2 linked regions of the Arabidopsis thaliana genome follow. The protein of the gene in region 1 interacts with the protein of each later gene in a biochemical or structural test. Each region holds a gene or a part of one and is shown on either strand. Other genes may lie near its edges.

Region 1 (5,297 bases):
AAAAAGTATAAGAGAACTCTGATTAGCAGAAAAGTCCATATTTATGCAAGTATTTTTTTAATTTAAAACTTTATAGGATCAATATGTCTATATTTGTTACAAATAATATAAGTTATCCGTTTTATGTGGATACATATCAGATGAAACAGCGATGACTGCAGCTATTCATCCGGTTTGGTGGTTGGTCATTCATGGTTCAGTGGTTATCCATCAGGGATCGAATAGCAATGCATGCAAATCGAAACCTCTGTCTTGTTCACATAAATATATATATGTCTGCGTATATATATCACATACATATATGTGACACCAATCAAGGTATTCCAAAATACCTTTTTTCATTTATTATAATCATTTTAAAGTTATGAATATATTTAGGAAATGGCAAATAGAATAATGTTGAGTTGAAAAAAAAAGCTAATGTCTACGGATTTAATGGATTCTTTTCATTTATTTATTTTTTTGCTGCCAATAAGTTAGTAGAGTGTAAGATAAATCTGAATTGGTCGAGTAAAATTCAATTAGTAGACAGAGGTTTACGTGTATGTAACCATGAATGACCCAATACAGTGAATCATTAAGATGCATCACATGTATGTATGTCTATCAGTTCAGTACATGTGATCCAAATACAGAAGAAAAGCTGTTATGTATCACTATTATTCTTACACACATCAAAGAGTCAAGACAAAGGATGTTACATAAAGATGAGTCCTCAAAACCAATGACTCATTTATTTTAAGTAAAACCAAAAACTTCCACATTAGCTTTAGATTAATGCAACGGATCAACAACTTGGCCAATGAACAGAACCACTCCTGTTATGTTCTCTGTGACCACCAATAGAAACGGATGGTCTGCAACAAAATCTATTTCATCTTCCTCCATAAGCAATCCTCTTAGCTTTATAACTCCAGCTGATGCAGCTGCAGCTTCTGTTCCTTCTTCATTCACTTCGATACACGCTTTATGGAAAATGTTCGATACGCATAGATTCTTCCCCATCTCAGGAGATTCAACCATCTCAGTTAAACCTTCTTCACCGCTGAAAGGCGAAGTCAGTCCCAATCCTTTTAAAACATTTGAAGCATCGAACCCGAAAGAGAATTTAAACTTTGGAATCTTGAATTCGCGGACTTTAACTTGTCTGCGTGGGATGTGGTTGTCTAAGAACCCAGGAGTGGAAACTATTTTGTCCAGAAGATCAGACAGTCCGTTGTTTGCATCGGGAAGATAAAAGTACATGGAGAATTGTCGCTTATCCTGTCCTTGTAAGTAAGGAAGTCCCAAAACTTTGAAACCATCGTAAGCACTTACGTATTGTTTCTTCTTGCTGGTCATGAATGGTGCAGTCACTTTGTTACCGTCAAGAAGGTGAAACTCGCCTTCTTGTGTTAACGACTCATCGAATTTCTCGTTCCATGTTCCCTTGAAGTACAATGCATTTGCAAATATCAGTTTGGTCATACTATCAGCTGATCCTTCTGGAAGAACCTCAGTGATGAGACCATTTGTCTCCTTTTCAGCCCATGAATTCACTTCAGCAATCACCTCCACAGCCTTCAAAAACAAAAATTATCAAACATAAACCCAATCAGTACATCAAATCACAAACCTTTTAAAAACCTCATTTCCACAGCCTTCAAAACAGAATAATCGACCTTAACCCTATCAGTACATCGAATCACAAGCCACTCAAAATTCCACACAAACCAAGATGCATAAGAAACCCTAGACACAGCCACAGAATCAAAACGTAGTAATCACATCACAAGCCACTCAAATTTCACACAAAACCAAAAGATCCATAAGAAACAATGAACCTATACAGATCCTCAGGGTAACATAATGAAAACAACAAATCCACATTTTGGCCTTTGATTGTGTCTACTAAAATCCACACAAAGTTAGTATTTACAACACCCTAGGAAGCAGAATCAAAATGTAGTAATCATATTGCAATCAATAAAACGAATTCGAGAGCAAGATTTCTGTAGAATCAAATCACAAGCCACCCTAATACGATCATATACAGATCCTCAAGTGTAAAATTCAGAAACAAAAATTCCACATTTTGGCCTAAGAGTGATTCTATTACAATCCACACAAAGTTCCTCTGTACCTGAAGAACTAAGTCTAGATCACAGAACCAAGTAATCAAATCAGAAAACTCACCTTCGATTGAAAATCAGCTTGATTCGAAGCAGCTTTATACGAATCTTCCAAGAGCTGTTTAAAGGAAGGTTTAAAGGAGAGAGACTTATCGATCCAGGCGCCATTAGCCACCGAGAGCTTAGGACCACCGTTAGCACTACCGTCAGCGAGAACAGCGGAGACGATTTCGGAAGAGAATGAATTAAGTTGATCAGTGGAAGAGAATTTGAGAAACGAGAGGATCTGATCTTTGGTAGCGCCGGCGGATCCAGCGGCGATTATACTGAGTACGACGTTGATTGAAGCCGGTGAGAAGATGACGTTGGAGTTTTGAGAGACGGTGGTGATTACGTGTTTTGCGAGATTCATGGAGACTTGGTTTTGCAGTGAGATTGATTCACGCACGTCCATTTTCGCCGGAGGTTGTGGTGGTGATGACTGGTAAACGAATTTGCTGGGTTTAGGAGAAGACGATTGATATATTTATTTTAGAGAAATATCTTAAAATTATATAATAATAATTAAATACAAAGATTATAAATGACATGTCGGTCAAATTTTTTTATTTTTTTTCTTCTAGCACGTCGGTCAATGGTATTTGACTATCTGGTGGCATATGAAAAAATTTCGTTATGACTATTTCGTTATGAATTTTTTTTATAGAGCTGAATGTTTTTTTTTTAAACCGAGTAAAGAAGAAAGAGAGACAAAAAATAGGGTTTTGAAAAACTCTTATACATTTAGAGGATTTAGATTCTTAAAATTTTACTTAAAATTACTATTTTTTTTGTATAAATAAATTAGAAAATTATAATTTTTTTTAATTATAAAATAAAATAAGGGTAAATAAGACTTAATTTTTTTTTGAAAAACCTACATTTGACTAATTTACAAGAAAAATAAATAGATGGACAATTTTGTTTTGTAGATATCCTTTAAATTTAGTTTTCCCAAATATTTTTTGTTTTTAAATTTCGCCTTTGAAAAAGAACTGATACAGATGTTTTTTTAAAAAAACTAAACCTTCATTACATAGTAAAACTGATATAAAATGTTTATCATTGATTTTTCAAAAATGTTATTTTCAATTTTCTTCATAAATCGTTATAAAAATATAGAAAAAATATGCTGACTTAATCCACAAAACTTGCAGTCTTAATATAAAATAAATTTAGATTACTCTTTTTTATTCACGGTTTTTATTAGATTGTCAAAACCTATCAAATATTAAGTTTGACTGGTGATATTGTTAGAATGGACAAATTAGTTAGCAATTTAGTTCGCTTTATTTTTTGTGTGAATTATAAACTGCCGTAAACCAACTTTACTTATATGTAAAAACCGTTTATATTTAGTTACGATAATTTCAATTATTTTTATTGTACTCTCATTATAATTTATAAATATAGTTTGTGAATTATAAATTAAAACTAATCTAATTTGTTCATCTCAACTGCCGCAAACATTCGCGATTATTGACATTTTAGTGTAATATAATATGTGTAAGAAAATACGCTCACCGCACACGTCGAAGCGCCAAGCGAAGAAGGTGGCACATCGGCAAGAGGAAAAAAGATGAATTGACAAAATCTTTTGAAATGATGTGTAAGCCTATAATGAACTTGAATGTATATGAATTAAAAAAAAGTGTGAATATGTGCTTTGCTTATCGATGACTTGTTGTGTTTATCTCTCGGTGGAAGCAATCGATTATTATAAACCATGTCTTCGACCAGACCATCTACACATCTTTTTATGAATTTTAATTCTCAAGTCTGTGATAACAAAAACTAAATAGAGACTAAACTAAAATAATAATTTAGAAATGGTCTTTTCTAATTAAGAAATAAGATGGTTTTCTTCTCAAGATGCTATATATATTTTTAGCATTTGATATTATGACACTAACTAAATAAAACCTCTATAAATTAATAATGTTGGGACTGCAAAATTTTATTAATTTAGAGAGGTATTAATTTATCGATAAATTAATAATAAATATATAAAGAGATTTTCCTAATTTGGTAAATTTTTAAAAAATTTCTATAAGATTTCTTTCTTTGTAGAAAATATCTTTCTAAAATCAGTTACAAGTAAAACATAATAATAATGTTTAGAAAATAACACCAAAAATTTTGATACAGTAAAATATGAAAACTATAGTCAAACAAAGAACAAATATGAATTTAAGCAAAAAAATATTATAAAGAATTTTTTTCTATAATATATATATATATATATATATATATACAATTATATATATATTTATACAATTATTAATTTATGATATTGATGAGACCATATATTTACATAGGACTTTCAAAAAAATTATTATTTTATTAATTTATCGATTTGTGTCACATTTTACACTGGTCCTAACTCGGGACCGAAAGAATTTATTAATTTATAAAAGTTATTAATTTATAGAGTATTAATTTATAGAATTTATACTGTAGTTTTTCTGACACAAATCTTTTATGTTTACATAACTCGACTAATCCTTGTCCTTATATTGAGGGGCAATCAAGTTTACGGTTTGGTTCAGGTTTCTAATTTTATTGGTTTTATATACGGGACACTAAAATCGAAAGAAAATACGGTTTACTTTTGCATTTGGTTTGATTTTTGTTTTCGTTTCTGAATCATTTCTATTTTAGTTAAACGTTTTTAAGTGAGTACAATAAAGAATAATTTTGTTATATTATACATTTTTTTGTTTGTTTTATTATACTTACATAAAATGATTAAATTATTTTAAATATAAAGATGTAACTAAAATATTTTTAAAAAATAGTACGTTTTATTTGTTTAGTTCGATTGTGTTTAGTAAATTCAAAATGAAATCAAACAGTTTATAAGTCTTTAGACTAAGGCCAGACCGCAAGGGCAAATCTTAGGCATTGGTTCCAAGGACGGTAACCTACTGAGAATGAAGGAAGAGAAGCGTGTGCAACCCTTCAACAACACCTCAAATCCTTAAATTTGAGGGCTTTTTGAACTCTAACAAGCCCTCAACCCTTTATTTTTTTAGGGTGTGAATAGTACAACCTCAAATACCCTTAAAATCTTTCTTATATTTCATTTTAGTCTTTATAATTTATATATTTTACAAATAGTTATATTTAGTTCAATTATTTCAAATA
Region 2 (5,410 bases), 270 kb from region 1:
GGAGGTCGTGTAAGAAAGAGACGGCGACAAAATTCACCGGCTTTCCGATGAATTTGAGCTGATTACGGAGAGAAAACCAATGCAAGAAACGAATGCATATTAATCAGAGACGTGTATCTCTCCTATTGCGTTTGATTTAAAATTATTAATGGGATAGGTTGTAGACGATGCTTATTGCGTTTGATTTAAAATTATTAATGGGATAGGTTGTAGACGATGCTTCAACAGTGGTACAAGAAAAAGAAAAAAAAAACTGAAAATATTTTTGGAAAGTTGTAAAGGGTAAAACTGTAAAACAACAATAGGTAAAAGTACATGAATTTGTGAATACTGTGAGATGTTCCTATCTCCACAAAAGCACAGACTTTAACGTGTCGATCCCATAATTGATCCATTATATGTAGCCATCACTAGTTTTAAAATTTATCACACATTTTAGTCAATTGAAAGAAATTTCAAAATTAAACATAAAATTTAAAAATTGATTTGTTAAAGTGCAAAAGAAAATCAAAATTTTAGGCGGGATGACTTCGTTAGGCTTCCTACTAGCAGAGCTAAATTAATGCAAAAGAAGTTGAAAAAGAATTGTGTTAAAGCAAAGATGATTTCGTTAGGCCTCATAGAAGCAAAGGTGTAAAACTTCCATAGGACCATAACATAGCCATAAATATTCAATTTTCTTGAATTAACAATAAATGTACTGTATCAATGAAACCCAACTATGAAACTGAATGAAACATAGGGTCCTTTTTTTATATACACGAAACCCAACAGCTGCATTTTTTATGTATCTAGTTATGGCATAAACAACAACATTAAAAAGCATCTGATAAATCCCTTCAGAGAGATCTCTTCTCTCATGAGCCAGAGTCCTCTTGAAGAAGCAATGTTTAGGCAATGTTCTTTCTGCCTTGTGACCAGAATGGCGTTGCGGGTTTACGCTTTAAGGCCTTAACACTAAATGGACTGTTCTTGCTCTGCAAATGATACATTCCCAAACAAGGTCAGGTGAGATTCAAGCATTATTTACCATCTTGATATTTGTTACTGAAAGTGGAAGAATTAGAACTTACCAATAAACAGGTTCCTTGATCAAGGTCACAAACCGGGTACTCGTGAGGGCAGCAACTATAGTTGTCATCACAGCAAGTGGCTGCTTCTAGTGGGCAACATCCCCAAGCAAAGCAATACTTGCCATACTCAAACAGACAACAACAAGTGTTGCTCTCAGGACAAGTGTAGTAACTGTCACATTGGGTTGGAGGCTTGATGGGAGATGGAGGTGAAGGTCCCGGGTTTGGCGGGTTTTCGCCATTCTTTATCGGGTATGAAGGTTCAATCGCGATTCCACATTTTCCTGATGAAGACGCAATGTTACGCGCCATCCTTAGGTATCCACTCTCTCCCCAGCTTTTACCCCATGAGTTTCTCACAATCCAGTAATCTTTGCCGTTCTCAGTTCCGTATCCAACCGCCACAACTCCGTGGTCTAGTTGTGTTCCACAACTTCCATCAAATATACCCTTCAGATGAAAAGATCACATCAACACATTAGAGACAAAGGTGACTAACAACAATATGAACATTTTGAGACCAAAAATAGTGAAAAGCTACTTAATATTCAACCACCTATTAGATGCAATTGTTTCATGCGTTTATATATGAATAAAACTTTACATTTTCAAACACTAGCAACATTTTTTTCAATTTTTCATAGAATTCTTTTGTAAAGTGTAAACGCAAACACCAAACAGAGTTTCTCCTTTCGTTTGTAATTGGCGTATACAATTAACAACAGAAGTGAAATGGATTTATATGCATAAAAACTAACAAACACCTAAGAACTATGAGAAGATGGTTAAATTTGTACCGAATCATAGAGCTGGAACGCACGACCACCAGCCTCAATGGCAATGCTAATGGGTTGATGAGCAACTGCTTTCTTCAACGATTCCTCGCTGTAAGTTGGAACATCCTCATATGAATCGATAGTGACAACTTTAGCGTTTTTCTGTAACAAGAAACCCACAAGAGGATTGATATAAGAATCATAAGTTGTGTTAATAATCAAATGTAATTCCTTGTCAAAACAAAAACCAATGTACTTACCCTGATCTGGTCACAAGTTCCATCAACACCCTTGTAAGGATAATCTTTGTCTGTATCGATTCCACCATTCTTGATAATGAACTCAAAAGCATAGTCCATAAGACCTCCGTTACAACCTTCGTTGTATGAAGTGTCACAATCGACCAACTCTTGTTCAGACAAGGTTATTAGGTCTCCGGTTACGATCTGGTTTATTCCCTCCACTGCTCCAATGGTTGAAAACGCCCAACAACTCCCTTCATTACCAATCATAAGTGTCAACAACATCAGCTTACAACAAAACATTAACATCAAACAGGAACACATATATTCTAATATCAATGTTCTGTAAGGAGGACTAAAATAATGTGCAATTTCTAACATAATCATGACTACGAAATTTAATGTTATAGTTAATCAGATTCATTCATAAACCTTATAACTGAAATTCATAACCAAAATGTACACATTTGAAATGCTGTGAGCCTGTAACCAAGTAAAACCTTATTTTTATGCTTAGGACAAAACAACTATAGCTCACAAGCAAAAATAACTAGACTATAAGTCAACGTCTCTAATTAAGTAATGACTAATGACCTATACACATGATGATTTGTTAAATTATTAGTACTATTAATTTCATTTATTGAGTTTTGTCTTGCTAACTAACACCCATAATTTCCGGAAGGGGCAAATATGTCATTTTCCAAAAGTTTCAAAACTTTATGATTGAATCAAAAAATGATATACTACGATAAGAGTAACTAAAAATGATGGTTAGATCCAGTAGAAACTTACCGCAACCACCCTGATCTTTGACCTCAGCCACGGCTCCTTTCTTCCTCCAGTCAATAGACTCCGGTAGCTCATCACCGACACGAGCCTCGTACCGTAGGCTAGTCCTTCTCTCACCTTTCTTCTCCATCTTAGCTCCAAGATACTTGGATCTATACTCATCGTTAGTAAGATCCGCAAAACGAGTCAAACCCAATCTATAACTAAGATTCTTCTCGTTATGTTCATCGACGAAACGAAGATTGTCTTTAAAGATCTCGAACCGTCGATCTTTCTCAACAAGAGAGTTCTGGCTCTGAGCCTTGCCGTGTTTCACCAACCATGCCTCGTAGATACTCATAACCTCGGCTTCGCTACGGCCACCGGTGGTGGAGACGCCATGTTTCTCGTCGTAGGAGATGATTGACATGTCCACGGCTGATGAAACGGCGACCATCGCTAGAAAAAGAATCGCCATGGTTGGCTTAAGGAACCCCATTTCTTCTTCAGTGTTTTCTTGGAGAAGAAGAAGAGAAAATGATGAAGAAGACGATTGTATGATGGACAAGAGATGGTGGTGGGGTATATATAAAAGCCAAATGAGATAAGTGTAATAATTGTTAGTTTTCTATTTTAATGTTTTCGTTCGTCACTCTTTTTAATTTTCTAAAATAATGGTGACTTGTTCCGAATTTTTTTATTAGAAAGTTCAATTTCGGAAAGGAAAAAATCCGTATGTTAGAAGAAAAAAAAGATAGGAAAAATCCAAATTATTTTTTTGATACGATAGAGAAACAATAAAAGTTATATGTATCCAACAAGTTGAAACGGAATCAAAACAGAAAAAAAGAATTAAAAATAAGTGGATCTAAAATAAATGAAGATAAGTGATTTATGGGCTTCTTTGTAGATAAGATATCATATGGGGTTTGACAAAAAAATAACTCCATGTTGAACTATAATTGAAACTGAAAAAAAAAAGAGTAGCAAATCAGATAATAAATAGTAAATAGTGCATTATTTACAATTTTTCAAATAATGTACATTTACCACTATTACTCATGTTATATTTGAACTAAAAAGAGGGAACCCAAACCAACATCAAATCATTTTTTTGTTTGTTATTATTATCCCTTTTCTCATTTCCTCTTTTTCCCAACAAAAATTTATGAGTCAAGTTTTCTTAATAATATTGAAAAGAAAAGTGGGCCAAAATAAATCTTGAGCCAAAAAAGAAAAGAACTCAAATCATTCTTTTTGTCATTTTAATAAGAAAAAAAAAATCAAAAACTTCAAATAAATGAACAAATCATCTCTAAACTTATACTTAATTGTATTTATTTTCTTAAATATTCAAAAACAAAAACTTGAGCCAAAATCCGATTTAAAAATCCTAATTAATTTCAGGGTCGGTTGAGATATTTTGATAAGTGAAAAAAAAAACAATAGTGTAAAGATGAAATCTATAAATGTGAATATGTGATGGTCAATTATTGGTTAGACAATATGGGTAGGAAGAGATGAGACGTCACTGATCTCTAATTGGCAAGCCAAAAATAAAATGTCCACACAAATAGGAGCGCGTGTTCTCACGTATTGTAAAAGACGCGTGGATAGGATTGTTACATGTAACTCGAGATTCTTATGAGTTTTTGATAATATAGAATCTAAAGTCTTACAAGTTACCATTATGAAATTAGATTGTTGTCTCTATTATTATGATTCCTTCCGAAATTAAAAGACTCAAAATATTTTCTATAATTTATTCATTTTACTCAAACTTCTTTAATATAATGCTTTCAAGAGTTAGCTTGTGACAATAGAACACTTGCTCTCTTTTTTTCGTCAGAGAATTAATAAAAATTATTATATTCAAGTGACATCGAATATTATACTTATCAAAATAAAAAAAATAATATTGTAATTTAGAGTTTTGGAAAAGAAAAAACTCAACAATAGTTTTGCGTGTAGAGATACACTGATGACGATATTGGAATTTATACATTCAATAAAAAGTATTAATGTGAAACGTATAATATGACTGAATAACGAATCATTAATTAGTATTTTAGAACTTTATTACACGCTAGTGTACATATGGCCAAAAACATTGAGACACAACTAACGCTCCTAGCCTAAGGGGAACTACATTCTATAATGAATCATAATAAGATGTACACTCAATAATCATAGACACATACTTTGAATGGAGACGATACGGTGCGAGACAAAAGAATATCAAAACTACATGTAAATTTTCTTTTTTTAATGCTTTGAACCGCACCTACCCACCTCCATGCTCCAAGTCACCATGAGAAACAAAACAATCAAAATCTATTGACGCAAAAAGGTAAACACTTTGCAATCAAGTAGAATATACTCATCATATGATACCAATGCTGAAGAACCAGCGAATTCAATTCTCCAATCTAAAGTTGAATTGCGAGATGGGATAAAATTTCTGACGGTGAAATTTGCGCATTAGTTATTGGTAAAATTTCATGACATGTTGAAATACGATTACATGGACAGAAAGTTTTGGATGGAA

Evidence for each region.
Region 2: the proteins of SERPIN1 (region 1) and RD21A form a complex in vitro, tested with the Arabidopsis thaliana proteins (one study listed by BioGRID).

What each region holds. Positions count from the first base shown.
Region 1 is NC_003070.9:17,555,539-17,560,835, reverse strand, and holds SERPIN1 (Serine protease inhibitor (SERPIN) family protein), read right to left. Parts: upstream 3,746-5,297; 5' UTR 3,713-3,745; coding exon 3,675-3,712; intron 2,700-3,674; exon of another isoform or gene 2,609-2,699; coding exon 2,176-2,608; intron 1,561-2,175; coding exon 775-1,560; 3' UTR 511-774; downstream 1-510. UniProt on the Arabidopsis thaliana protein: Inhibits metacaspase-9 (MC9) cysteine protease. Functions through cleavage of its reactive center loop and covalent binding to MC9. Involved in the control of elicitor-stimulated programmed cell death (PCD).
Region 2 is NC_003070.9:17,282,249-17,287,658, forward strand, and holds RD21A (Granulin repeat cysteine protease family protein), read right to left. Parts: upstream 3,502-5,410; 5' UTR 3,362-3,501; coding exon 2,887-3,361; intron 2,346-2,886; coding exon 2,110-2,345; intron 2,012-2,109; coding exon 1,871-2,011; intron 1,524-1,870; coding exon 1,074-1,523; intron 978-1,073; coding exon 891-977; 3' UTR 501-890; downstream 1-500.